Caenorhabditis elegans: one gene and its partner. The protein of the gene in region 1 interacts with the protein of each later gene in a pairwise test. Each region holds a gene or a part of one and is shown on either strand. Other genes may lie near its edges. The genes, in order: vha-20 and chk-1.

Evidence for each region.
Region 2: the proteins of vha-20 (region 1) and chk-1 interact in a two-hybrid assay, tested with the Caenorhabditis elegans proteins (one large-scale study listed by BioGRID).

Annotation. Positions count from the first base shown.
Region 1 is NC_003284.9:14,159,237-14,172,140, reverse strand, and holds vha-20 (Renin receptor-like C-terminal transmembrane spanning segment domain-containing protein), read left to right. Parts: upstream 1-7,634; 5' UTR 7,635-7,635; coding exon 7,636-7,810; intron 7,811-7,867; coding exon 7,868-8,231; intron 8,232-8,284; coding exon 8,285-8,624; intron 8,625-8,696; coding exon 8,697-8,792; 3' UTR 8,793-9,042; downstream 9,043-12,904. Other genes in the region: idhb-1 (putative isocitrate dehydrogenase [NAD] subunit beta, mitochondrial), read left to right, coding at 41-286, 624-678; sym-4 (WD repeat-containing protein 44), read left to right, coding at 2,545-2,646, 2,746-2,919, 3,184-3,399, 3,822-4,361, 4,418-4,920, 4,977-5,114, 5,161-5,977, 6,130-6,231 and 2 more; lgc-25 (Acetylcholine receptor-like protein cup-4), read left to right, coding at 10,504-10,531, 10,577-10,746, 11,003-11,154, 11,587-11,728, 11,779-11,923, 12,067-12,233, 12,369-12,522, 12,575-12,764.
Region 2 is NC_003283.11:3,753,867-3,766,770, reverse strand, and holds chk-1 (Serine/threonine-protein kinase chk-1), read left to right. Parts: upstream 1-7,301; 5' UTR 7,302-7,307; coding exon 7,308-7,791; intron 7,792-7,856; coding exon 7,857-8,070; intron 8,071-8,267; coding exon 8,268-8,501; intron 8,502-8,669; coding exon 8,670-8,832; intron 8,833-9,036; coding exon 9,037-9,453; 3' UTR 9,454-9,618; downstream 9,619-12,904. Other genes in the region: oac-55 (Nose resistant-to-fluoxetine protein N-terminal domain-containing protein), read right to left, coding at 465-668, 722-935, 1,148-1,263, 1,309-1,420, 1,783-2,009, 2,056-2,426, 2,474-2,567, 3,501-3,678 and 5 more; gid-7 (CTLH domain-containing protein), read left to right, coding at 10,975-11,055, 11,300-11,430, 11,805-12,015, 12,250-12,380, 12,434-12,534. UniProt on the Caenorhabditis elegans protein: Serine/threonine-protein kinase which is required for checkpoint-mediated cell cycle arrest and activation of DNA repair in response to the presence of DNA damage or unreplicated DNA.

The DNA of each region.
Region 1 (12,904 bases):
CAAATTTTCAAAATAAAAAATTCATAATTTATAATTCCAGACTGGTCGGAGGAGCCGGAGTCGTGCCAGGACAATCTGTGGGACGTGACTTTGTCATCTTCGAGCCAGGAAGTCGTCACTCTTTCCAAGAGGCCATGGGACGCTCTATCGCCAACCCAACTGCCATGATTCTCTGCGCTGCCAACATGCTCAATCACTTGCATCTTGATGCTTGGGGAAATTCACTTCGTCAAGCCGTCGCTGATGTTGTTAAGGAGGGAAAAGTTCGCACCCGTGATTTGGGAGGGTGAGTTTTGTGGGAAGCAGGGATGTGCGGCAACCGGCAATTGCCAAAGTTGCCGAATGCTACAATTTTTGGCAACCCGCAACTATCGGTTGCCGAAATTTCGGCAATTTTTCGGCAACAGGCAACACAGCCCCGGTGGCAATACTAATATTTGTAAATTGTTTCAAATTTGTTTCAAAATTTGTTTTAATTTGTTTTCAAGTATGATAATCGACAGTTGACAAAAGTACATATTTGATAAGTATAAAGTTTATTCTAAATGTATTATTTTTAAAAACTTTCGCCCATTTTTACTGCCAGCAATTTGAAGAAACCAATAAATAAATCCCAATTTCAGATACGCCACCACTGTCGATTTTGCTGATGCCGTCATTGACAAGTTCCGTATCTAAAATGTCATAATCTACTACTGCGTCCTATAATTTTTTTAAAATAAATTCTCATTCTTCTCTAGTAGATATCTAGTGTTTTTGTTTTTCATCTACCGTTTCTTTTTGTTTTTATTTTCAATCCCCACCAGAACTTGTAAGTGTTAGTGCCTTTTTGTGTATATTTTTTGCTACGAATCAATTTATATGTTTCGAAAATCTTTTTATATCGACAAAGCGTACTCGTTTTTTTTCATGTATTCAACAAATCACGAACCCAATATCTACCACGTGGCCAGTTTTGGTCTTCCAACCTTTCCATGTCTCGTTTTTCACCATCCATCCCTCAAATCGTCTTATCTAATTTTACCATCCATCGATTTTTTTTCTTCCTTTTTTGCGATTGCTGACTTTCTACGGCAGACCACCCACCCGCCATTTCTCGTTTACATTTTTTTTTCAATTTTATGCAAACATGGAAAGTGGATCAATTCAAAGGCGAATGTTTGTGTGGAATGAGTCATTTTCTTCTTTTAAACTTTTTAATGGTTTTTTTCTGAGAAAATCTTGTCGGCTTTATGTACATCTTGAACGATCATTTAAGTAGATAAAATGACGAATATATACAGATGTGTAATTTACTTATTTGTCTGGAATTTCAGAAAAAGTTTTAATGTCGAACGACTATATTTTCACAAAACATTTTGAATTTAAAAAAATGTGAACAATAAAAAATTTCCGATGAACCAAAAATTTGCGGATTTTACTTTAAAAGATTAAAGTAATCAATATTTTTCATGATGAGACGTTATGGATTACTGTTTTCTGAAATTAAAACAAAAAATCAAATCTTAAAGGATAACGGAAAGTTTATGAAATGAAAAAGTAAGTTTTTTTTAATACTAAATTGAGCTTATGAAATCCTATTTTCCTAAATATTGGTGATTTTCAAAACAAAATGTATTACTGTAGTATGTATTGAGCTTAATGCAAATAAACACGATGCTTAACAGTTCAGAAACATTTTTCCGTTAGTTGTATTTTTTCATTAAGCATCTACGTATCTGATAACTCGGTACTTGTGTGATAGTTGTACCACAAAACTTTTTATTACCATATTGGTATATATCTACGTATATAGATATAAATTGTTGTTTTTTCCAGCTAAATGTATAAGCTCTGCTTACTTGGCATTAAACATTTTCATTAAATGCAAATATTATCGCATGGTTTTTTTTGATTCTAGTTCTAGTTCTAGTTAATTTTCAAAAGGTTCAATGATTTTCTTTTTAAAATTGAGTTGTCAGAAGATTAGAATCATTTCCTCAGTTACGAACCTTTTGTTTATAACTTTTATGGTCCACACCATGAACGTTAATAGATTTTTGTTCAATTTTAATGTTTTTTTAAAGCAGTAAGCTTCATTTATATATGTTCAGGAAAACGCTGATCGAAATAAGTTCAAAGAGATAATTTTAACAAATTATATCTAATTTTCACCTTATTTAAGCAATAAAAGTCATGCTTCGGATTGACTCATCTCTCTTGCAAATCGACATATGCACAGTTGCAATTACGCTCTATCGCACTCCCTTCTCCCGGCACACCGGTCCATGTGTGTATGTTTTCACCGAGGAGGCAGTGTGCGCAACGAGGAGTGTATTCCCTTTTCTCCCTCTAGTCCCTCTTCAACTCCCCCTCTGTTTCACAACGACGAGAACATTTATCGGTCTTTGGTTTTAGTTTTTCGACTGTTCATTGATTCTTTCTCCTTCTCTTTCACCTCCATACACAGTTTCATATCATATCACATTTCTCGCCTCTCCAATAACCATTACTCTTAAAAAATGCAGTGGTTTTATTCCAGTCAACTATTGACGATGTCAAATAATGCGACGACAGATCCGAACATCGCCAATTGAAAATGAAGGAGACGAGTTCAAAAATGGAGAAGAACCCAGTTCCAGTGGGCATATATTTGGAAGACCTCAAGTGAGTTTTTCAAAATTCTGTTGTACTTTTTTAAAATACGATTATTGCTCAGATATGATATTGAAACTGTTACCAGTATTAAAAATCATAAATCTTCAGAACCAGTACACCTCTACACCACATCGTCCAGAAGTGCTCAATTTTGCTGCTCCCTCCGCTACCAGGTTGGCAATGCGCCGATCTGAGCAGCCTGTCACCTCGTCAACTCCATTCTCGTCGTCATCTCGTCCAATGAGTGCAGTCTTCAATACACCTTCCTTGTCGTCGTCAGGGGTAAGGCTCATGAAGTTTTAATAGAATCAAATCGACAAACGCTTAAAATAGCTCTAAAGCTTTTTCAAAAATTCTTGGTGACAAGTCTATGTCGTTAAAAATAAAACATTTCTTGCCAAAAACTAAACGTATGTACACATATAACCACTCTTGCTTTTTGAAGGTATATTGTCTTAGTATCACAACGTTTGTTGTTAGTATGGTGAAATATGAACAAAATTTGAATGAAACTATGTATTAATTAACTCTAAATGTTTTTTTCAGTTTCCCGCCACATCAACTTCATCAATTCGTGACTCTTCTCACCGCGATAGACTTATCTCCCTCCGGCACCGGATGAACAAGGAATTTGGCAACCGACAACTTGTTGGACCCACCGCGCAAACTGACTATGAGCATGATGAAACAATGAGCACAGTTTCTGACGCTCCTAGTCTTCATTCTTGGCATCATAAAATGATTGTGAAAAACGAGACCGTGGTGAGTCAGGCGAGAATTGCATTTTTTTTAAAGTTTGCCCGGATGTTTATGGAGGAGCAAACTGCATAAAATCAAGGGAATGTTTATGGTTGAAATATCATTTTTTGTTTAAAATGAGCGTTTTTATTCTCTGTTCCTTTTACTACAAATTTGATTTTTGAAACATTTGTTGTGAATAATTAGCGTTTACCATTCCGAAGTTTTCAGTGTTTGAAGTTTTGAAATCATTTCCACCATTTTAGAGACCGTCTTTTGTCGTCATTTACTACGCACATTAGCAATTGACACAGACACGCAAATGTACACAGTGCATATCATTTTTAAATTATTGTCTATAGGCCTAAAATAGTGCAACCTTCTATGAAATTTCAAATTTCGCATTTTCCCGCCAGGGTTTATTTTTACTATTTATCAAATTTCAGATAGTAAACGCGACGGATACACTAAGCTCTTGTGCAGCGCCACGTTCTGAAATGGGATTCGAGAACTCTTTAATAAGCCAGAGTAACACATCAGCAAATGCAACAATTACGCCGATGAAAGTGAATATACCTATAGATGAATCCCGTCATCGATCTTCCACATGGACTCCCACGGATAGCTCATGCTCGGGCATCTCGCCTAGCACAAGAGTACCACCACCAATTCCATCAAGAGCTCCAGTAATGTCTCCAGTCCAATCTCCCTTAACCCATCCTCCGGTAGCACCAATGCCACGATGTCCACCACCTCTGCCACCCCGAACACCATCAATGAAGCTTCCAGATCCGATTGCATTTGAGGTGGAAAACCGGATAGAAGAGGAACGAAAGAAAAATCTAATACAGCGGGAGATTTCAGTTGGTTCCTCTAAGAGCTCGGATGCACTGATGGCTTCAACGACGCCGGATGTTAAAGAAGTGAACGGACATAGGAAGTCAAACTCGATTGATAGAGGATTGACAATTGCAAAGGCAATGAAGGTAAACCTATAAATATTTTCAAAGAAATACGTTATCTTATAAACGAATAATTTCAGACTGGTCCATTCCCACCTAACGCGCTTGCTCTTGGAGGCCGTGAAGCAACCGGAGAAGAAGAGGAGCGCAACGTTGTCGCCGAAGAAGTAATTCGTCAAATCACAACTGATGTAGAAACAGCACATAATCTCAGTGACTGTCAGAATGTTGACACAATGAGCTTAGAGACTATACCGTCGGCATCCAATTCTACTGCATCTTCGCCATCTTCAGCTTCAGAAGCGGAATGTAAACAAATTGCAATCAGAATCCCCGATCCAATACCAGAAGAAGCGCCATCATCGTCCAAATCATTTGGGGCATTGGAGTCAGTGAATAGTTTGAGTCCGGCTAAAACAGTAACCAATCGCAATTCGCGAAGCTTGTCAAACGATGAGTTGAGAACCAACAAATCGGATAAGCTCTCCTCGTCTGTTGACCCAATTACCCTTGATGTGGAACGACGTTTGAGTATGAAGAGAAGTGGTCAGCACGAGTCTGATAGGCATAGCATTGGATCCTTGTAAGTTGGCACTTATTTAAAAAAAAATGCTTAAACGTGCATAAATATTATTTTAGAGATGAAACTACCTCGAACCGGACATTGTCTCGTACCGGAATCGAAAGTGCTGCATCATTTGCTCGGAACTCAGTGAGATATGCAAGTGGGATGCTCAGAGGGGCTTTCAAGCGTGTGCGTATCGCAGCTCATCCAGGGTTAGTTTTATCACATTTTAAAAATATTCAATTCGCATGTTTCCAGCTCGAGCAGTCTGAATCGTCATGGGATTGGCGAAGAAACAAGCGACGGAGAAGAGAGCGACGAGCCACATCATCCATCTGTTGCCCCTAGTAACATCGTCAGACCACGAAAAAGCAAGAAAGGCCCATACGACTTTGAGCATTTGACAGTCGAGCAGGAGCTGAACAACGAGCATACCGGAGCCATATGGTGCATCAAGTTTAGCATTTGCGGAAAACTGATGGCAACAGCTGGACAAGATTCTATTCTTCGCGTTTGGGTTGTCAGATCACACCTGCAATATTTCTCAGACATGCGTGAAAAGTATGCGGCCAACGCAAACCCTGAAGCAGATCCAATGAATTCAGTAGATAATATGGAACACTTTAGACCGCCAAGCTCTATGGAAAGTGTAGTCAATAGTGAAGCAACTACTGCTTCTGATGATAACAATGGATTATTTTGTGCAAAACCATTTGCACTATTGAAGGGTCATACTGCGGATATTCTCGACGTGTCTTGGTCCAAGAATTACTTTATACTATCATCTGGAATGGATAGGACAGTCAAATTGTGGCATTTGTCACGCAATGAATGCCTTTGCTGCTTCCAGCACATTGACTTTGTCACCTGTGTTGCTTTTCTACCAAAAGACGATCGTTACTTTTTGTCAGGATCATTGGATGGAAAATTGCGGATGTGGCATATTCCCGATAAGAAAGTTGCCGTCTGGAATGACACTGAAAAGAAATACATCACTGCGATGACATTTGTGAAGAGTGGAAAGTTTGCGGTTGTAGGAACCTATGACGGAAAATGCATCTTTTATACTTCTGATGTGAGTTTTGCAAAAATAGTGTTTTTTTTTAGTTGAAATTCTTTGGACGCAGAAATAAGAACCAATTTGTGATCATCGGTCGCAGACTGGTGGTTATCGATTTTTGGCATTGCTGTCGCTGCGCAAATGACTTATTCCTTATTAATTTTCAGCAACTGAAATATCACACTGCTGTGGATGTACGGTCAACAAGGGGTAAAAATGCCCGTGGTCATAAAGTCACCGGATTGACTTCTCATGGAGACAAACTTTTGGTAAGTTAAATTCAAGAATCGGTCAATAGGGAACTATAACAAGAATAGTCCCAAAGTGGAAAATTCAAAAATTGAATGATTATGCATGTATAACAGAATTTGATAAGAATTTTGTTGCAAAATTAAAATGACTTTCAGGTGACATCCAATGATTCGCGAATTCGAATGTATGACATTCGAGACAAGGCTCTCACATGCAAGTTCAAAGGGGTGCAAAACGACCACTCTCAGATCCGTGCTGCCTTCTCACCAGACGGCCGGCACATCATCTGCGGCTCAGAAGACAAGTTTGTCTACATTTGGCGTGCCAGCGACACCACCGTCGCCTTATCAGTCCGGAAGGATCGCAATTCGTGGTGGGAACGGGTGCGAACACACAACGCGCCTGTGCCTGTGGCCGTGTTCGCGCCAAGACCTCAAGTGTTCTTCAACATGCTTAACAAGCGGGATAAGCACTCCAAATCTGACTCGATTGATTTTAATATCAGCGGGCAAGTGTTGCCGGGACAATCGGATTCGCTAACATCCAATGGCAATTTGTCGATTCCAGGACATGTAAGTGCTTGTAGTTAAGAGACCTTTGATGAATTATTGACTTTTAAATTGGTCTAGAAGCGTTTTGGTACATAAATCATGAGTGCAGAAAACCACCGAAGGAATTCTTTCCAGAAAGATAATTTTTTTACGCTTTGCAGTAGTTATTAGTAATCAAAAAATCAATTTTTGTTTCAGGTAATTATCAGCGCTGATTTGAATGGAGTGATCAAAGTGATGATAAACCGTCCGCGTCTGGTCAAGGCAAATCCACTGGACCCAAAGAATTCACGTTCTCGATCCTCCACTCTGCTTACCTAGTTTTCTTAATAACAGATATTAATCATTTTTCTTTGAAAATTTATAACTTTCCTCCGTTTTACTACCAACGGCGTCAAACCGACCCCGAGTGAGCTTTATTAGCAAATTCCACTAGATTTTTGTTTTTTTTTAATCAAACCGCACGATGTCAATAGTTAATTTTTGAATTTTTGAATCTTTGAATTTTCATCCCACTCTACTCTTTTTAGCCCTATTGGTCTCCAAATTCTATGATGATGTCTTTTGTTTTTTTGCTCGCGCAGCTTTGCTTTTCTCTAGGAATAACCTATGTGATGTGTAAACCTTTCGTCCTAAACGGGATATGAATTTCTTTTCTTCTGGGATAATTTCTGCAGTTGGTAACCCATACAGTTCCAAATGTTTTCTATGAGTAATAAATTTTTCGATTTGCATTTTAAAACTATTCCCCTATTTTTAAATTATTTTATCTGTTGTCAAATCACAGTCTGATATATATTTTATTATATTTTTTAAAAACAATTTTCATGTTATGCCTTTAATTGTTTTTCTCAATCAATCAATTTCAGGATGAAGTTTGTTCTTCTCGTCTCCGCTCTGGTCGCCGCGTGTGCCGCATCTTCTCTGGAAATTATCGCAGCTCCGGCTTCCCTTAAGTTCCCGGATGCTGACGCAACCTTGAAGACCACACTGATTTCCACTCTCAATGAGAACATTCTGGGACTTTCTGCAAGACAAGTTGATGGTGAGTAGTGATATAGTTACTTTACATATAAAGCAAAGAAGATGAATCGTTTTTCAGGATTTTCGGTCTCCGTTGACATGTTCTCTCGTCCACGCGCCCTTGCCGTCGTAACTGTAATTGGAGCTGACAACCTGAACTTGGGAGGAAAAACCTACTCAACCAAATCCGACGGTGTTGAGAATGTTGGATTCGATCAAGACATGGCGCTGATCTTTGGAGCCGACCGTGAAAATGTGCAAGTTTCGGCTGGTGGAATTACCGGATCAATGCTCGCTCTTGCCGCCCAACAAGAAGCCGTTGATGCTACTGTAATCAAGACCAAGAGAAGCACACTTGTCAAAGAACTTGAGGCTGTTTATCAACTTGCCGCTGCCATCAAGAGCGCCGGAGTACAAATGGATAACAATGCTGATGTTTTCCGGTAAGTTCTGTTAGATCCCGGAATCTTTGTTTCACATTATTTTTTTATTGTAGTGTCTCCATCACCGGACTTGTCGGAATCACCGAATCTGCCCAAAAGGAAGAAGCTGTCGCAGACGTTAAGGCCGCCATTGAGGCTCTCACTGCATCCATCAACAATGCTTACGGTGGACAAGCTGTCATCGAGCTTCTTGCATTCGAAGCTGAATCCGGAGCCGCCGAGAAAAGCACCGAGTCTCGCGAAATTCCAAACCATAACATTCAGAAGAGAGACACAAAATCAAAAACGCCAACCCAATTAGCTCGCGAAAACCTCCAAGTGACTGTTCCAGTGTCCTCTGATTATCCAGCAATCTTTGCTATCTTCCTTGGATTAGTTGTTATTCTTGTTGTGGTAAGTAGAAAATTACAGAATAATGTTCATCATATAACTGATGTTAACTCCAAAAAATGCCATTAATTTCAGGCTCTCATCTACATTGTTGTGGGAATGGCCTCAATCGACCCAGAGAAGGATTCCATCATCTATCGTATGACCACCACAAGAATGAAGAAAGACTAGATTCTACAGCATCTTCATCAAATGAGCACTATGCTCACCATGTTTCACTGTTGAAAATACTATTTTCGATATTATTTTCAAATTCTTAATTTCTGATTACCGTTCGAGACATTCCATTTTCCAATTTTTCCAGTAATTGATTGTATTCTTTTCTAAAATTTTGATGACTTTTTTGTTTATTTGACTATTTTTTCCCATCCTGTTGGTTTATCTACTTCACAGATTAGTACTAATAAATGTATCTTATCGCAGAACATTCTTCTACAGTGAAAAATTTATACAGCTTCAGAAGTAACATTGGGATGGTTTCATAAAAACTTGATAACCGTCTAAGGAATGCAAAATACATACTTTTCAATTTGGACTCTCTAAAGTATAATTTGCCAAAAAAAAAAACCAAAATTGCTAGAGTTTCCGCAAGCATACTTAATATTTGGCACAACATAAAGTCTGGTTAATTGATCAAAACTCTCTCAGTGGAAAAACAAACAACGGTGTGGCCATTATATTTGTATACCCAATTGTCAATCTGAATTTGAAAGTGGGAAAGAAAACCAAAGTTGCATCAAACTTTGAATATTCACTATTGATCTATTGACCGGTTTAAACATTCCAATCTTTTGAGATCAGCGTTTGATATGCTGATTTTCCAATTTCAACGATATGTACTATGTAAAAATAACACATTCTAAATGTAATCTATGTAATGTGTTCTTCTTGTTTTCCGTGTGACAATCCTTGTTGTATTTCTCCTCCTCAGGCAGAGTCAGCAGTAACTGGACCTTTCTACATATCTACAGGGCAAAAAAGAGGGGGGGGGGGGGGGGGGAAGAGGGTTCTCGGGCATCAATTGAAGTAAGATGCAGATGAACATACACAAAGATACATATGTTCGAAATGATAAAAAAGGTATACTAATTTTATATCAAACATATCATACGCGGATAGCAAAATTTTTCTAATGTTTTCTATTTGAAAATATATATATATCAAAGTTTTCACGAGATTTTTAAAAAGAAATTATGTTCATGAAATTTGAAAAAAAATGATTCCGCAGTCAGCAGGATTCGAACCTACGCGGGCAAAGCCCAATTGATTTCTAGTCAATCTCCTTAACCACTCGGACATGACTGCACATTGGGCTTCAGAGCTACAATAGCTGATAGTAATCATTCTTATCATTATTTATTATCGATTTCCTCGATTTTTAATACGTTTTTCTACAATAAACTTTTAAAATGATCGTTCAGTTCCTCGGTAGTATAGTGGTGAGTATCCGCGTCTGTCACATGCGAGACCCGGGTTCAATTCCCGGCCGGGGAGATACTTTTTTGTTTTCAAATATATTTAATTTTTGTTATACTTTAAAACTATATCTTTTCTTACATATTCTTACTAATATGATAAAGTAAAATTTAATTGAGCAAAAAACACACTTGAGTCATGCATTAAATCAATCTTCTCTTCCATTTTCGGTTATCATCCAACTACATATTCGTATCTTCATTCCGCAATATTCCAAAAAAAAACTTATGAGTCTATATCACATTTCATATAAACAACGCGCTATGCATATCAAATAGCAGACTCCTCCTTCACTATGAAAACGATATCAAAAATCGTTTATACAATCTGATTTGTTTATTTCAACTTCTTGCCCGTTTCCATTTTGATTTATTCACATCCGATATTCAAACTCATCAAAGTAGCAATGACTCTAACGCAGTTGTTATTAATTGGTAGGTATTTTTCTATCGATAATCAAGTAACAATTCGGTTTCAAGGGATTCTGGTAATCTGGCACCTGGATAATCAAGTGTGTGGTCTTTCAAAAGAGCAACAGCTGGAGAAACAGCTCATGGTGAAGTACAATTACAAAGTCCGACCTGTAAAATCTGAGGCAACTGTGACCCAAGTCAACGTGTTTCTGAGCATTGCTCATGTGGAGAAAGTGGTAAGTAATGTACATACAGATTTTAATCAGCTTAATGGCTAATGTAGAATATTACAAACTGTTGAGCTAATAACATTTAGAACAAAAAAAAACAGCGTATTTAATAACAAAAATTCATTATTTTAAAGCTCCAAAACTATCACCATAAAGAAAAGTTGAACCAAAATTTAGATTATCCTAGAAACACTCTATGGAAAAGCAAAAGTTTTTTGTCAGCATGGTATGCCTAATACATTTAATTTCAATTTAATTGCAGGACGAACATGAACAGACAGCTCTTGTCCACGGCCATATCTGGGCAACTTGGATTGATGAGTATATGCAATGGGATGCCAAAAAAGAAAATGTCACAAAACTCACCATCAGTGCTCACTCACTGTGGCAACCTGCTCTGGCGTTGTATAACAGGTACGTGAATTCTAAGTATTCAAATTTACATATGTCTTGAAAAATGAATAGTTTCAATATTGGATATACTGCGTGGCGTTTACGCTGAAAAAGGCACGCTTTTTTTTGGAAAATCACGGGGAAGACATAAAAGACAAAAATCGGGACCCCAACCAATATCAGCCGCCGACATAAACGAAGTTCCGCGCAACACTACGTTTCACTCGCTGTGTACGTGGCAAGCTGTCCCGCCCGCCGCGAGGAAAATATAGTGGGGCGCGGAGTCCATAAGATGTCGGCGGTTGATATTGGTTGGTGTCCCGATTTTTGTATTTTCCCCATAAGTTTCCGAAAAAATATGGGCTTTGGCGACTTCCAAAATATGGCGTGACAAAAACTGTGTAATCGCCATTTTTTAATGTTTTTCGTAATACTACTGTTTTTTCACTTTAGCGCTCGTGGAAACAGCTGGCACTTATACATGGGCGCAATGCCGGCAACTGTTTATAGCACGGGAAAAGTGTGGAGCACTGGAACATTCTCCTTCTACGTCACTTGTCAATTCGACTTTACCAATTGGCCTTTTGATCAGCAGGTAGCTCCAAGACACGTGTTTTGGTATGCTAAAAAAACACGTAATTTCAGTCATGCCCGATTGTAATTGCCGATTGGGTATACAATTTGAATCAAGTCAATTTGAGCGATCCATATATTCTTAAAGAATATGGCAAACCGTCAATTCGACTGAGCTACGACCCTATTGAGAAGAGTGACAAACGACATGTTGCAGGCAAGTTGTTGCTCTTTGAAAATTAGGTGTTACAATGAACTATTAACTCAAATACGGTAACTATGCGCTTTTGCGTCTTTTGCTTCAGTGATCATTTTTTAAACTTTTTCCTAAATCCTCAAGCATGCGATTTTTACTTCCAGGGTGGGAAGTCATGGATGCATGGAAAAAACATTGCTATTGGGGCCCAAAAGGATGCAAGGAAGAGCAACCAGAAGGTGAAGCAGAATGGTACTGGTCACTATTGGAGTTTGGCATTATTCTCAGACGTCATCTTCCGTACTTCAGTCTCAGTATTTTGTTTCCAATGGTGAGATGTTTAAAAACTATTTTTTAGCAGCTGAAAAATACCTTTACAATATCAACAAAAAAAAACCACACTTTTTTTTGTAAGAAAATGAATTTTGAAAACACAATCGGGCATAGCAACATGATTATTTTTCAGGCAGGCACATCGCTGATTCTTCTTTTATGTTTCTGGATTGAAACGCATAGTATCTGTTTTTTCACGATTATGCTCAACATCATATTGCAAAGTTATTACGGCAGTAGTTTGCTTGCGAAGATGCCACCGGGAAGTGGGCGAACTCCAAAAATTGGTATGCATCTTATTGACAATCATCAGAAAAAGTTTAACATATTTTTATTCAGTTCACCTCTACAACATGAATCTTCTGCTGAGCGCTGTTCAATTCGTACTTATTGTGTTCTCGGAGTTTTTGAGACTTAGGTTGCCCAAGAAATTCGAGCTTGATCTAGGTTTCGATATAATTGGAGTTCCTCAAAGGTTTGGAGTTGACAAGTTATTCACGCAGAAAGGATTATCGTTTGATCCACAGGAGTAAGTTGAGAATTTTGATCCACAATAAAACATTTTTTAGCAGTTGGAGTTATTTTAATTCTATCAAAAAATTGATTAACCTATTAACCGATTAACCCAAAAACATATTAAAAATCGTTGTCAATATTTCAATAACAATT
Region 2 (12,904 bases), on another chromosome or scaffold:
GAATGTTCCTAGGAATGTTTTGAAAAGTAAGCAAATTCTACGAAAATATCCAAAGAAAACGGGAAAAATTTCAAAAAGGCTCAGTTTAAATGTTTCCGTTTTATAAAAAATCACTCTAAAATCTTCCGGCAAATTGATATCCGGCAAACGGCGATTTGGCAATTTGCCGAAAATGAAAACTTCCGGCAAATCTGCAAACCGGCAAATTGCTTTTTTTTTCCGCTCACTCCTGGTTTGAACCTTGGGATACTGTTTATGTACATTTTCCAGATGGTCCCATGAACAATACCGATACGGATTCTTAGCATGACGTCCCGGAGATGTGCTTATTCAAGAAAATCTGTCAAAAAACCGGTAATGCGGCGGTTGCCAGGACCGATAGAATCGTTGAAGTGCGCTCTATGGATAACAAGATCTGTGTAATGTTTTAAAAAAATTCTCAGATATTTAGAAATTCATCTTCATTAGAATCTGATGCTTTCTACGTTTTTCTCAAAGTTATTTTCTGGAAAATCAATCGGCGTTTTTGGGATATCCGGTGCCGATGATCGACTTCCACCACCAAGAAGCAATGCTTCAACCTTGGCAAACGGAAGTTCGAACATTGTCGACCAAAATATTGCGACAAGGAATGAGCACGAGATGACAGGAATTGCAATTACTAATACCTGCAATTTTTCGATTTGAAATTTACTTTAAATTGAACCAACTGGGAACTTACAAAGTACGGTAGAGTCGAAAAATAAAGTTCCGAATGATTTCGTCCGAAAAAGTAGGCAGCGACCATCAGATGAACTAGGTAAGCACAAAATGATAGCCGAGCCAGTGGTGTCCACACCGGGAGGCTCATGAATTTATTGATTAATCCCTTGCGGTAATAGGTGGAGATCACAATCCAGGACAACGCGAGTCCCCAGACAACTCGGCTGAAGCAGCTGGAAAAGTAGGGGGAGGTGAGGGGAAGGTGCATTAACACGTGGTGCCAGAGTGTCTCATTGAGGCTTGATCTACGTAGATCTACAAAAAATGCGGGAAAAGAGACGCAGAATTCTCAACTGATTTCGCATGGTTAAGAACGTGCTGACGTCACATTTTTTGAGCAAAAAATTCCCACATTTTTTGTAGATCAAACCGTAATAAAAGGTACCTGTACAAAGCCGTTTGGAGTGGGGACCAGAGGTGGCCAGATGTATAGTCTTCCATAATTACAATAACGAAAATCATGGATCCTAAGGATAAGCACCACATTATTCGATCGACCCACTGAACATAAATTTCATCCTGATGGCGGGCTGAATGAAAACTTACAGGGTTTATGTTGATTTTTGGAATTCGCCGCATGAAATATCCCAGTACCATCCCCATTATATAAATCTGACACCGGATCAGCGGGTTATGGTAGTTCCACGCTGCATACCGCCTGAAAATTTCTGATACTGTATCCATATCAGGGGCGGCAAATGATTTTTTCCGGCAAATCGGCAAGTTGCCGGAATTGAAAATTTCTGGCAAATCGGCAAATTGTCAGAATTGAATGTTTCCGGCAAATCGGTAAATTGCCGGAATTGAATTTTTCCGGCAAATCTGCAAACCGACAATTTGCCGAAAATGAAAATTTCTGACAAATCGGCAAATCGGCAAGTTGTCGGAATTGAAAATTTCCCGCAAACTGTCAAACCGGCAGTTTGCCAATTTGCCAAATTTATCGACAAAAAAATTTGCCGAATGGTAATTGGTGCCCGTATTGGAGGGTAGGGGAGCGGAGTTTTTTACTAATCAAACCTTTTACTCGGGTCATACAACGGATCCTTGGGTCCATAGTTGTAGTCTGACGGCGGGAAATGCCAAAAAATCATTTGATACGCATTGAACGCCGTTGACGCCAAGAAGGCCGCAGTTGAAATCAGGAGTCCGACCACTGCGCCACCTAGTCCAAAGCTTAGAAGAATCAAGGGACTCATGATGTAGATCTGGAGGTCGGTGGCAAGGTACCAAGATATGAAGTAGCACTGAAACGTTTTTATGATGCACATCTGAAAATGGCCTAAAACTCACGATATCTTTGGGGCCAACAATATTCTGAATATATAAAAGATTGACCCAATAGCTATTCTGACACGTGTCATCTACCACAGCCGGAGTCATGAACGCTGGCATATCAACCATGGATCTTGTGAACACAAATGTGAAGAACAAGATTGTGACATAGTACACCGGGCTCAGACGAGCAATTCGGTGCACGTAAAACATCAGCCATCCACCTGGAGAAAGTAGCGCGTTCCACTGTTTCTCTAGTTGTTTGAACCAGAGAAATGAGAGCAAGAAGGCCGAAATGAAGAAGAAGGTGTCCACCGAGAAGTAAGCATTTGAGATTAGGGTTCCCGTATAGGTATCCTTGGTGAAGTCGTATAGATCTATGGGGTTTGCTGAAAGATTACCAATAGTCTCGAGCTTTGGTGAATTGAAGGCTTACTGATAACCATGAAAGTGATCTCTGAGCAATGTCCGAAGATTACCCAAAATGTTGAAATGACCCGAATGCAATTGAGCGAAGTTACTTGGCCTTCCTGGAAATTTATTAATTGCAGTGTCCGGGTTCTAGTCTTCGTAATAGCATTAAGTTTCGGCAAATCGGCAAATTGTCAGATTTGAACATTTCAAGCAAATCGGCAAATTGCAGGGATTGAACATTTCAGGCAAATCGGCAATTTGCCAGAACTGAACATTTCCGGCAAATCGGCTAATTGCCTGAAATGAAGTTTTCCGGCAAGTCAGCAAACCGACAAATTATTGATTTGCCGATTTGTCGGAAAAACGGCAATTGCAGAACATTTTTGGGAATTGTGTTTTTGCACTTTTTTTTGAAAATTTCAGAATTTAACTTTTGATCGTAAAAATTGTGCGTATCCTATAAATGATCCTAAATCTATTTTGAAAAGTAAGCAAATTCTATGAAATTATCTAAAGAAAACGGGAAAAATTTTAAAAAGGCACAGTTTGAAGAGGTTCCGTCTCATAAAAAATTCCTCTAAAAACTTCCGGCAAATTGATGTTCGGCAAATCGGCAATTTGCCAGTAATCAAAATTTCCGGCAAATTGGCAAACCGGCAACTTGCCTAAAATCGAAATTTCCGGCAAATCGACAATCCGACAAATTGCCGATTTGCCGAACGGCAATTGCACTCCACACTGGCAAGTACTTTTAGTTTTATAAGCGAAGCGCCGTAAATCGACCCTGGCCGAGCAAAAATCGCCTAATTCCGCAAATTATTGCATTTCAAAATATGAGGGAAGTAGATCAAACCGAAATGGAACACTCCGACACCACGTGCATAAACCAATGTACCATAATGGGGTTTGATCTACAAAAAATTGGGAAATTTTTCGCACAGAAAAATGAGACGTCAGCACGCGAAATCAGAAATCAGAGCCTGAATTCCCGTAATTCTCGTAGATCAATGGGACCAGCACTGTCGTAGCACCATAAAATCTGACCCTACCTTATGACAATTCTTCGTGTTGAAAATCTCCTTCAAATTTCGATGAAATGAGAATGCGCTGAATAACTTCCAACCAAAACCCTCCTCCTTCCTCGTTTTGTCGTTCAATTGGAATTTTTGAAAAATATCGGAAAATCCTGATAAAATGCAGAGACCCACAATCAATGATAAAATGAGTCTGGAAGTTAATTTCTATGAAAGTTAAAACTGGATAAATTTTTTTCCTGAACTTACAAAACTATCCATGTTCCCAACGAAATTACTGGAACTCTCTGATTAACATTCCGTACACTGCACACTGGAGACAAGGCTTTACTGGGCCCCAGGGCTGTAAACTTTTGCTATTACTTTTTTACAGCCTGTGCCATTTTTACGAACCTTCTCTAAAATACCCCGTAAGATCCTCATTTCGACAAGACCAGGGTAAGCAGAGATCTACTCCAATTTGCGGGAGGTTACACGAGCTATTGAACGAGTTGGGGCGCATTTTCATATCGAATAAGATTCTGGAACTAGTTGGATTTTGCCGCACAAGTTGCAAAAACAGGAAATATGTAGGTACCTGTAATAATCTCCCTGGACAGTTCGATTTAAACTCGAGGAGAACATCTGAATGGATTTGCATTCCGAAAAAGCGCCGGTGCTTAGAATATGGCCTCTAACGATGCCGGATCCCAGTTTACCGGCAGCGTCCATCACTGGAAATTTGAAAATTTTAAGTCAAAATTTCGTTTGAAACTTAAATGTTTAGCTATAATACATCTCTTTTAAACAATGTTCAACTAGTTTTCTCATTTTCTTAGAAATTGCGGGAAATTTTAAATTCCGGCAATTCGCCGATTTGCCGGTTTGGCGAAGAATATATGTGCAAATGCGCTCTACTGAACACCGAGCATTTTCGGGCGCTTTTTAAGGAAAAAATGTTTGGCCCAAAACAAAATACTATTTTTTGAGAAAACTAATAAAAAAGTTACTGTTGTAATTTTTTTAATCTTTTAAAACTTTTTTCTAAATTTTTAAAATGATTTTTCAATTTTGCCAAAATAAATTAAATGAGATGTTAGGCTCCGCCCACTTTTTGGATATATACGTGTTTTCTGGCAAGTTTAACTGTTTTTTTTTCAAATTTTATTTGTGCTCCAGTTACGTGGCGTCATGTTGTCCCATTACGATTTGATCTACAAAAAATGCGAGAACTTTTTGCCCAAAATAATGTGACGTCATCACGTTCTTAACCATGCGAAATCAGTTGATAACTCTGCCGCATTTTTTGTAGATCTACGTAGATCAAGCCAAAATAAGACACTTTGAGACCATGTACTCCAATTTGAGACGCTACATGAGTGGGCGGAGCCTAACATCTAATTTCTTTTAATTTGGCAAAAGTGGAAAAAAAATCAGAAAAAATTTAGAAAATACTTCGAAAATTTTTTACGTTTGTTACATTTGGTGATTACGGTCTATTTTCTGTCATTCAGAGTAAAAAATTTGGATCGTGTCAGGACCCACATTTGAAAAAAAATATCTCACTGGGAATAAGGTAATCCTTCCGTTCCTGATCGGTCATTGATGCTGGGACCGCCGCCGTACTGTGATGCCGGGCATATCGTGCCGCATCGATTACACCGTAACCCAAAAATGAAAGCTCTTCGTGACATTCTTGAGAAATTGAATAATTCGCATTTGAGTGAATACCGAGGGCAGCGATTAGATCGCTGGTTTTGTATTTTTCCTGGAAAATGTCAGATCGTTGCGAGACCCAAAGGTGTCAGGCTGTCCCATAACGGTTTGATCTCCAAAAAAATGCGGGAATTTTTCCACAGGAAAGTGTGACGTCAGCACACAGTCTGTGTCTCTTCTTCCGCATTTCTCAAAGATAAAACCAAAATGGGACACTTTGACACCACCACGTGGAAAACGTAGAACACTCTTGATTTGACAAAAGTGCCAAATCGTTGCGAGACCCAAAGTATCCAGAAACCCACCAGCTGCTCCATAACCTCTATCGGGTGAGCGATCAGCTCGCCGAGCAGCTCCATAGCCTTATGTGGATCGAATTCGATACCAGAACTGCATTGTAGATTAGCGAAAATTATGAAGACTAGAAAAATGGCACGTAACATTTTGTGCATTATGAATTGAATATTCTAAACTCATCTTATCAGTGTTATTACGTACGGTTATCATTTTAAAAAGTTACAATGAAATGGTAAAATAACACAAAAACATGGGAATCAACACTGAAAATCAGAAATCTTGTTTTTTCGATAGATAAGGCAAACGATTTTTTCCGACAATCCGGCAAACCGGCAAACCGGCAAATTGCCGGAATTGGAATTTCCGGCAAATTGGCAAATTGCCGAAAATCAAAATTTCCGGCAAGCCGGCAAATTTCCGGCAAATCTGCAAACCGGCAAATTGCCGAGTTGCCGAATTTGATGGATAAACGGTTTTTAACGGCAAATAGGCAAACCGGCATTTTGCAGAAAATGAAAATTTGTGGCAAATCGGCAAACAGGCAAATTGCCGGAATTGAAATTTCCGGCAAATCGGCAAATTGTCGGGATTAAAAGTTTCCGACAAATCGATAAACCGGCAAATTGCGGGTATGTCGAATTTGCCGGAAAAAACGGTTTTTACGGCAAATCGGCAAATCGGAAAATTGCCGGAATTTAAGTTTCTGGCAAATCGGCAAATTGCCGGAATTGGCATCTCGGGCAAGTCGGCAAATGGCCGGAATTGAAAATTTCCGGCACACCGGCAAACCGGCAATCCGCGGAAAATGAAAAGTTTGGGCAAATCGGCAATCCGGCAATTTGCCGATATTGAAAATTTCCGGCAAATCGGCAAGCCGGCAATATTCCAGAATTGAAAATTTCCGGCAAATCAGCAAGCCGGCAAATTTCCAGAATTGAAAATTTCCGGCAAATCGGCAAACCGGCAATTTGCCGATGATGAAAATTTCCGGCAAATCGGCAAATCGGCAAACCGACATCTTGCCGATTTGTCGACCTTGTCGACAAAAAAAAGTTGCCGAATGTCATTAAATGTAGGCCCAACAAAACTGCAAATAATGGTATCTTTTCTGTAGTTTGTAGTCGATGACGCCATTTGTTGCAGCAGAAACAAAATCTTGGAATCTTCGAACTTTCTGGAATCATCTGCAGAAAAATTTTTGTAGAACTTTTGGAGACTTCTGGACAAATCTGGAAGTTCTGGAAAAATTCTAGAAAATTAGAAAAAAAAACTTTACTGTAAAATTCTGGAGAATTCTGGAGAATTCGGTGTCATTTCTGAAGAGAAAAATCCAAAAAAACACCGGAAAGCTCAAGGAATTTACAAGAAAATTGATGTTCTTTCTATTTTTTGGATTCGGATGATTCTGTCGATATTATTTTATTTATATTTTCATATTTCCCTCATTTCAATAATTTTTCGCCTTTAATTCATCTCAATAGTGTAAAATTCTATTTAAAAAACATAAAAACATATAAAACATGTTTTTTCGACAAAAAATTGCCCGTAAATCCACACAAATTCCGGCTCCGAGCGGGATTTCGGAGTGTCGTTGCGCGCGGTAAATTCGAATGCGGCAACGTTTTCTGCGGTTTTCTTGTTTTCTTGATGCAAAATTCTAAAATATTTCAGGTTTTATTCAGTAAAAAATGTAAAACAAAACGATATTTCTCGATTTTTATCAATTTTTACCCTAAAAACCCAGAAAAATCAAGGTTTCTTTTAATTTTTTTTAACTTTTCCTGTTTCAGTGGTGAATAATCCTTTTTATTTTCAATTTTTCAGCAGAAAATGTCAGCAGCGTCCACGACTTCTACGCCAGCAGCAGCAGCAGTGGCACCTCAACAACCAGAATCGCTGTACAGAGTCGTTCAAACGCTCGGAGAAGGCGCGTTCGGCGAAGTCCTCCTCATCGTCAACACCAAGAATCCAGAAGTGGCGGCGGCGATGAAAAAAATCAATATCGCCAATAAAAGCAAGGATTTCATAGACAACATTCGAAAGGAGTACCTTCTTCAGAAACGTGTGTCCGCTGTCGGCCATGACAACGTGATTCGAATGATAGGAATGCGAAATGATCCGCAATTTTACTATCTCTTCCTGGAATATGCGGACGGCGGAGAGCTTTTCGATAAAATAGAGCCCGATTGTGGAATGTCGCCGGTTTTCGCGCAATTCTACTTCAAACAACTCATCTGTGGACTCAAATTTATTCACGATAATGATGTGGTTCATCGTGATATTAAGCCGGAAAATTTGCTGCTTACCGGAACTCGTAAGAATCTTTTTTTTTTTTTTGTCAATTTTAAAATGCTTAAATTATCAAATTTAATCTTCCAGATGTCTTAAAAATCTCGGATTTCGGCATGGCAACTCTTTATCGGAACAAAGGAGAGGAGCGACTGCTGGATTTGAGCTGTGGGACGATTCCGTACGCTGCTCCAGAGCTCTGCGCCGGAAAGAAGTACCGTGGGCCGCCCGTCGATGTCTGGTCGTCTGGGATTGTGCTCATTGCGATGCTCACCGGGGAGCTTCCGTGGGATCGGGCTAGCGAGTGCGTTTTCATCGCGTTTTTGGCGGAAATTAGCATATTTTGATGGTTTATTTCACATTTTTCGGCTAAAAATGGCAATTTCTCAACGAAAAATGTGTATAAACGAGAAAAAACAATAAAAACTATTTTCCGACCGTTGAGACACCAAAAATCAGAGATTTTAGCTAATTTTTGACGAAATGAATGTTTTTTTTCAGCGCCTCTCAATCCTACATGGGATGGATCAGCAACACGAGCCTCGACGAGAGACCGTGGAAGAAGATCGACGTTCGAGCCCTCTGCATGCTTCGTAAGATCGTCACCGACAAGACGGACAAGCGCGCGACAATCGAGCAGATCCAAGCGGATCCGTGGTATCAGCACAATTTCGGTCAAGTCGAGACACCGAACGGGCGGCCACTGAAACGCGCTCGCAACAATGATGAGAATATGTGAGTTTAATAGATGGCTTCGGCCATATCTGGTGTAGATTTACGGCGCGTTGCGTGTCGCGTCGCGGCTCGATTTTAGTTGCGAAAAATGCAATGAGGAAGGCCAGAACCCCATTTAAATTTAAAAAAAAATCACAATTTCATGTTAAAATGCTCAATATATTCCAGCACATGCACTCAACAAGCCGAATGCTCCGCGAAACGTCGTCACTTGGAGACTCCGAACGAGAAGAGCACTCTGGCGGAGAGACAGAATGCTTCGTTCTCCCAGCCGACAAAGACTGAGGATCTTCTGCTTACTCAGCATATTGATATGTCGCAGACCAACTCGGTTAGGAAAAAACCGTCAGAAATTGGCGGATTTTTAGCTAAAATCTCCAATTTTTCGGTCGTAAATTGGCATTTTTGATAATTTTAGGATGAAAATTCGCTAATGACACGGAAATGGTTGCAAAATTAGAGGTTTTTGCTAAATTTACTTTTTTTTTTGATTAAAAAACCCAGAATTTAGTTTAAATCCCCCTAAAATTTTCAGAATCTCCTCCAACGAATGGTGTGCCGTATGACACGTTTCTGCGTCGTCACCGACATCCGTTCCACGTACCAAAAAGTGGCTCGAGCCAGTGAGCACGCCGGCTTCGGCGTTCGTGAGACTGACGACTACCGTCTACTAGTCACGTGGCGCGAGGTTTCGATGATGGTCAGTCTGTACACGATGGGCGATATTCCCGACAAGCCACGTGTCATGGTAGATTTCCGCAGGTCTCGCGGTGACGGAATCCAGTTTAAGAAGATGTTCATGGACGTTAGAAACCGTATGCATGAGTGGATATGTACCGACGGAAACAACTGGCTCGCCAATCTTGGATATGTGCCAAGAAATCCGCAGATAGTTAATGGTGGTGGAGTCAATGTGGAGCACTCGGCGTCCTCGATCAATGTGGATGTCTAATTGTTTTTTTTTGTTTGTTCGTTTTTTGTTCCATCAGACTATTGAGATTTAAAGCACAATATTTATCATCATCATCATCACTTTAAACATCTCCCTATCCCATTAATTTTTAAATTTAACGTGAATTAACGCCGAATTACAAGCCTGTGAATGAATGTTTGTTTTTATCTCTGCGTCTAGAGTTTGTCCCCACTGCCTCATCATTCCTCCTCTTTCTCTTTTCCCTCTCTCACTTTTGCACAATATCTCGCTGCCCCTCGCCTCCGTTCGATAGTCGTCAGCTGAGAGAGTGTCTGCAGCAGACAAGACAATTCTTACTAAATAATACGCACGAATATATTCTTATGAATTTTTCTACCCCCTACTGTCATTAGGTCTCAACTGGAAAATCTGGAATTCGTTTTTGTAGTTTTCAAAATATCAGTGGCGCGTCGTTCCCACTTAACAACTCAAAGTGGTTCGGAAACCCATCGGAGAAGAGGCTGACGAGCCAGCCGTTGTCCCGGCCAAGCGACAGAGGTTTGCAATTTAAAAAAAGCTAAATATGACGATTTTGCGATACTGTACCAGGTCTCAACACGACAAATTTCTATAAAATTAATGCAAAAGTGTGTGTGCGCCTTTAAAGAGTACTGTAATTTCAAACTTCTGTGGTTACGGAATTTTCTTATCGATTTTTCTTAGTTTTCCGATAAAATTTCGTATTTAAATTCTTTTTTTAAACACCAAAATTTAACAAATGATGAGAACAATTGAGAGAAATCGATATTACGGGAACACAAAATGCTGAGAATGCGTACTGCGCAACATATTTAACGCGCAAAATATCTCGTAGCGAAAACTACAGTAATTCTTTATATGACTACTGTAGCGCGTGTGTCGATTTACGGGCTCGATTCTCGAAACTGATTCAGGCCCGTAAATCGATACAAGCGCTACAGTACTCCTTAAAGGCGCACACTCATTTGTATTTATTGTAATGCCACAAGATTTTGTCATTCATTCTTAAAGGCGCATCGATTCACTCAGATGGGTCTCGGCGCGAAAAAAAAATTTTTTGGAGTTTTTGCGTTTTCTTTCATTTTTCTGTTAAAGCCGACAAGCAGGAAAAGCACTTATGAAATTTGTCTAAACATTTTACGAAAATTTAAAAAAAAAACGACAAAACTCGCTAAAAACCAAGAAATTTCATTGATAAACGCAAAAAAAAAAACTTTTAAAAAACTCTTTTCGCGCCGAGACCCATCTGAATAAATCTGGGTGCCTTTAAGCGGACATGTCGACTTCTAGCGAAATTACGATAACAAAACCTTCAATTTCAATCGATTTTTTGTAGTTTTTACGATTGCAAACATATCAATTTTTGCAAATCGAAAATTCCGCGGCACCTAAAGTTTTAGACTACAGTACTCTTTAAAGGCGCATACCTTTTGACAATAAACAAAACATTGTCGCGTCGAGACCAGCTACCGTATTCTTGGCGCGCGAAAATTGGCAAAAATTTCAAAAAAAAATTCCAGAATGACTGTCGACGAGCAACTTGACGATGTTGGTCGTAAGGGTAAGAAGATGTCTGTAGCACAAAGATTGCAGAATCATGCGGTAAGGGTCTCACAGCGACACGTGGTGTCAGGTTGTCCCGTTATGGTTTGATCTACAAAAAATGCGGGAATTTTTTGCCCCAAAAAATGTGACGTCAGCACGTTCTTAACCATGCGAAATCAGTTGAGAAATATGCGTCTCAACTCCCGCATTTTTTGTAGATCTACGTAGATCAAGCCGAAATGATACTTTTTGACATCATGTTCCGCGATTGAAATGCAACAAAAAAATTCACTTTTTCCAGCAACTATCCCCCAGATCTCAAGATGATCCCGAAGAAACCGAGTCGGTGATTCGAAAGGAAATCGCGTTGGGAAAATATGATAAAGCAACAATTCGAATTATTGCACAATTTTTGGATAATATCGGCTTGACGTAAGTTTTTGACCAGTTTCGGGTCTCGGCACGACATTTTTTATGTTGAATGAAAACGGGTGTGCGCCTTTAAAGTTTCTTTATCGATTTTTCAGAGTTTTTTGTAAAAAAAGCACACGTGGTGTCAGAGTGTCTCATTTCGGCTTGACGCAGAGTTCTCAACTGATTTCGCATGATTAATACCGTGCTGACATCACATTTTTTTGGGCAAAAAATCCCGCATTTTTTGTAGACCAAACCGTAACGGGACAGCCTCGCACCACGTGGAATTTTGGAATTTTGAAATTACGAAATTTTAAGGCGCATGTCTTTTTTCAATAAACAAAAAATGTCGTGTCGAGACCGGCTACCGTATTTTTGACCCATTTTTTCAGAAGCTCTGTTGAAACTCTCGTTGAAGAGACGGGCTTCACAATTGAAACAACGTCGGGTGCCAGAGTCCGTGCGAACATTCTCAAAGGAAACTACGACGCGGCGATTCAAATTCTCGAAACTTCAAATGATCACATTACTGAGGAGACCGCAAAGCATGGATCATATATTGTTAAATGCTTCAAACTAGCTGACCTAGTTCGGAAAGGAAGGGTTCGTGCTAGACTTGGCACATGGTGTCAGAGTACGGTTTGATCTACAAAAAATGCGGGAATTTTCTGCCCAAAAAATGTGGCGTCAGCACGTTCTTAACCATGCGGAATCAGTTGAAAACTCTGCGTCTCTTTTCCCGCATTTTTTGTAGATCTACGTAGATCAAGCCGAATTGAGGGACTTTGACACCACGTGACATGGTGCATCGTGTGTCCAAAATATTTTCAATTTCAGTACTTTGACGCTCTGTTCACAATGCAGAAAATGATACGAGGCGTCATACTTGATCATTCCGAGCATTTTGATTATTTTGACACTTTTTTCAAAGACGTCCTGCTCGGAAATTGCCGATATCAGAATATTGAGTGAGAATTTTTATTTTAAAACTCGATTTTCTAAATAATTGGAAAATTTTCAGCCAAGTTGCCGAGAGGCAGTCCCAGTTGGCGTTTCTCGAGGAAATTCTTCCATCCGACTTTATTTTGCCGCAAAATCGATTGAAGACTATTTTGAATAAAGGTAATTGATTTTTTGAGGACACAAAATTCTGAGAGCTCTGCGTATTGCACAACACATTTGACGCGCAAAATATCTCGTAGCGAAAACTACAGTAATTCTTTAAATGACTACTGTAGCGCACTGGTGTCGATTTACGGGCCTTAATCAGTTTCGAGAATCGAGCCCGTAAATTGACACAAGCGCTACAGTAAGAATTACTGTAGTTTTCGCTACGAGATATTTTGCGCGTCAAATATGTTGTGCAAAACGCATTCTCCGAATTTTGTGATCTCTTAATTGTACATCAGGGGTGGGCTGCAATTGCCGTTCGGCAAATTTTGTAAATTCGGCAAATCGGTAAATTGCTGGTTTGCCGATTTACCGGAAATTT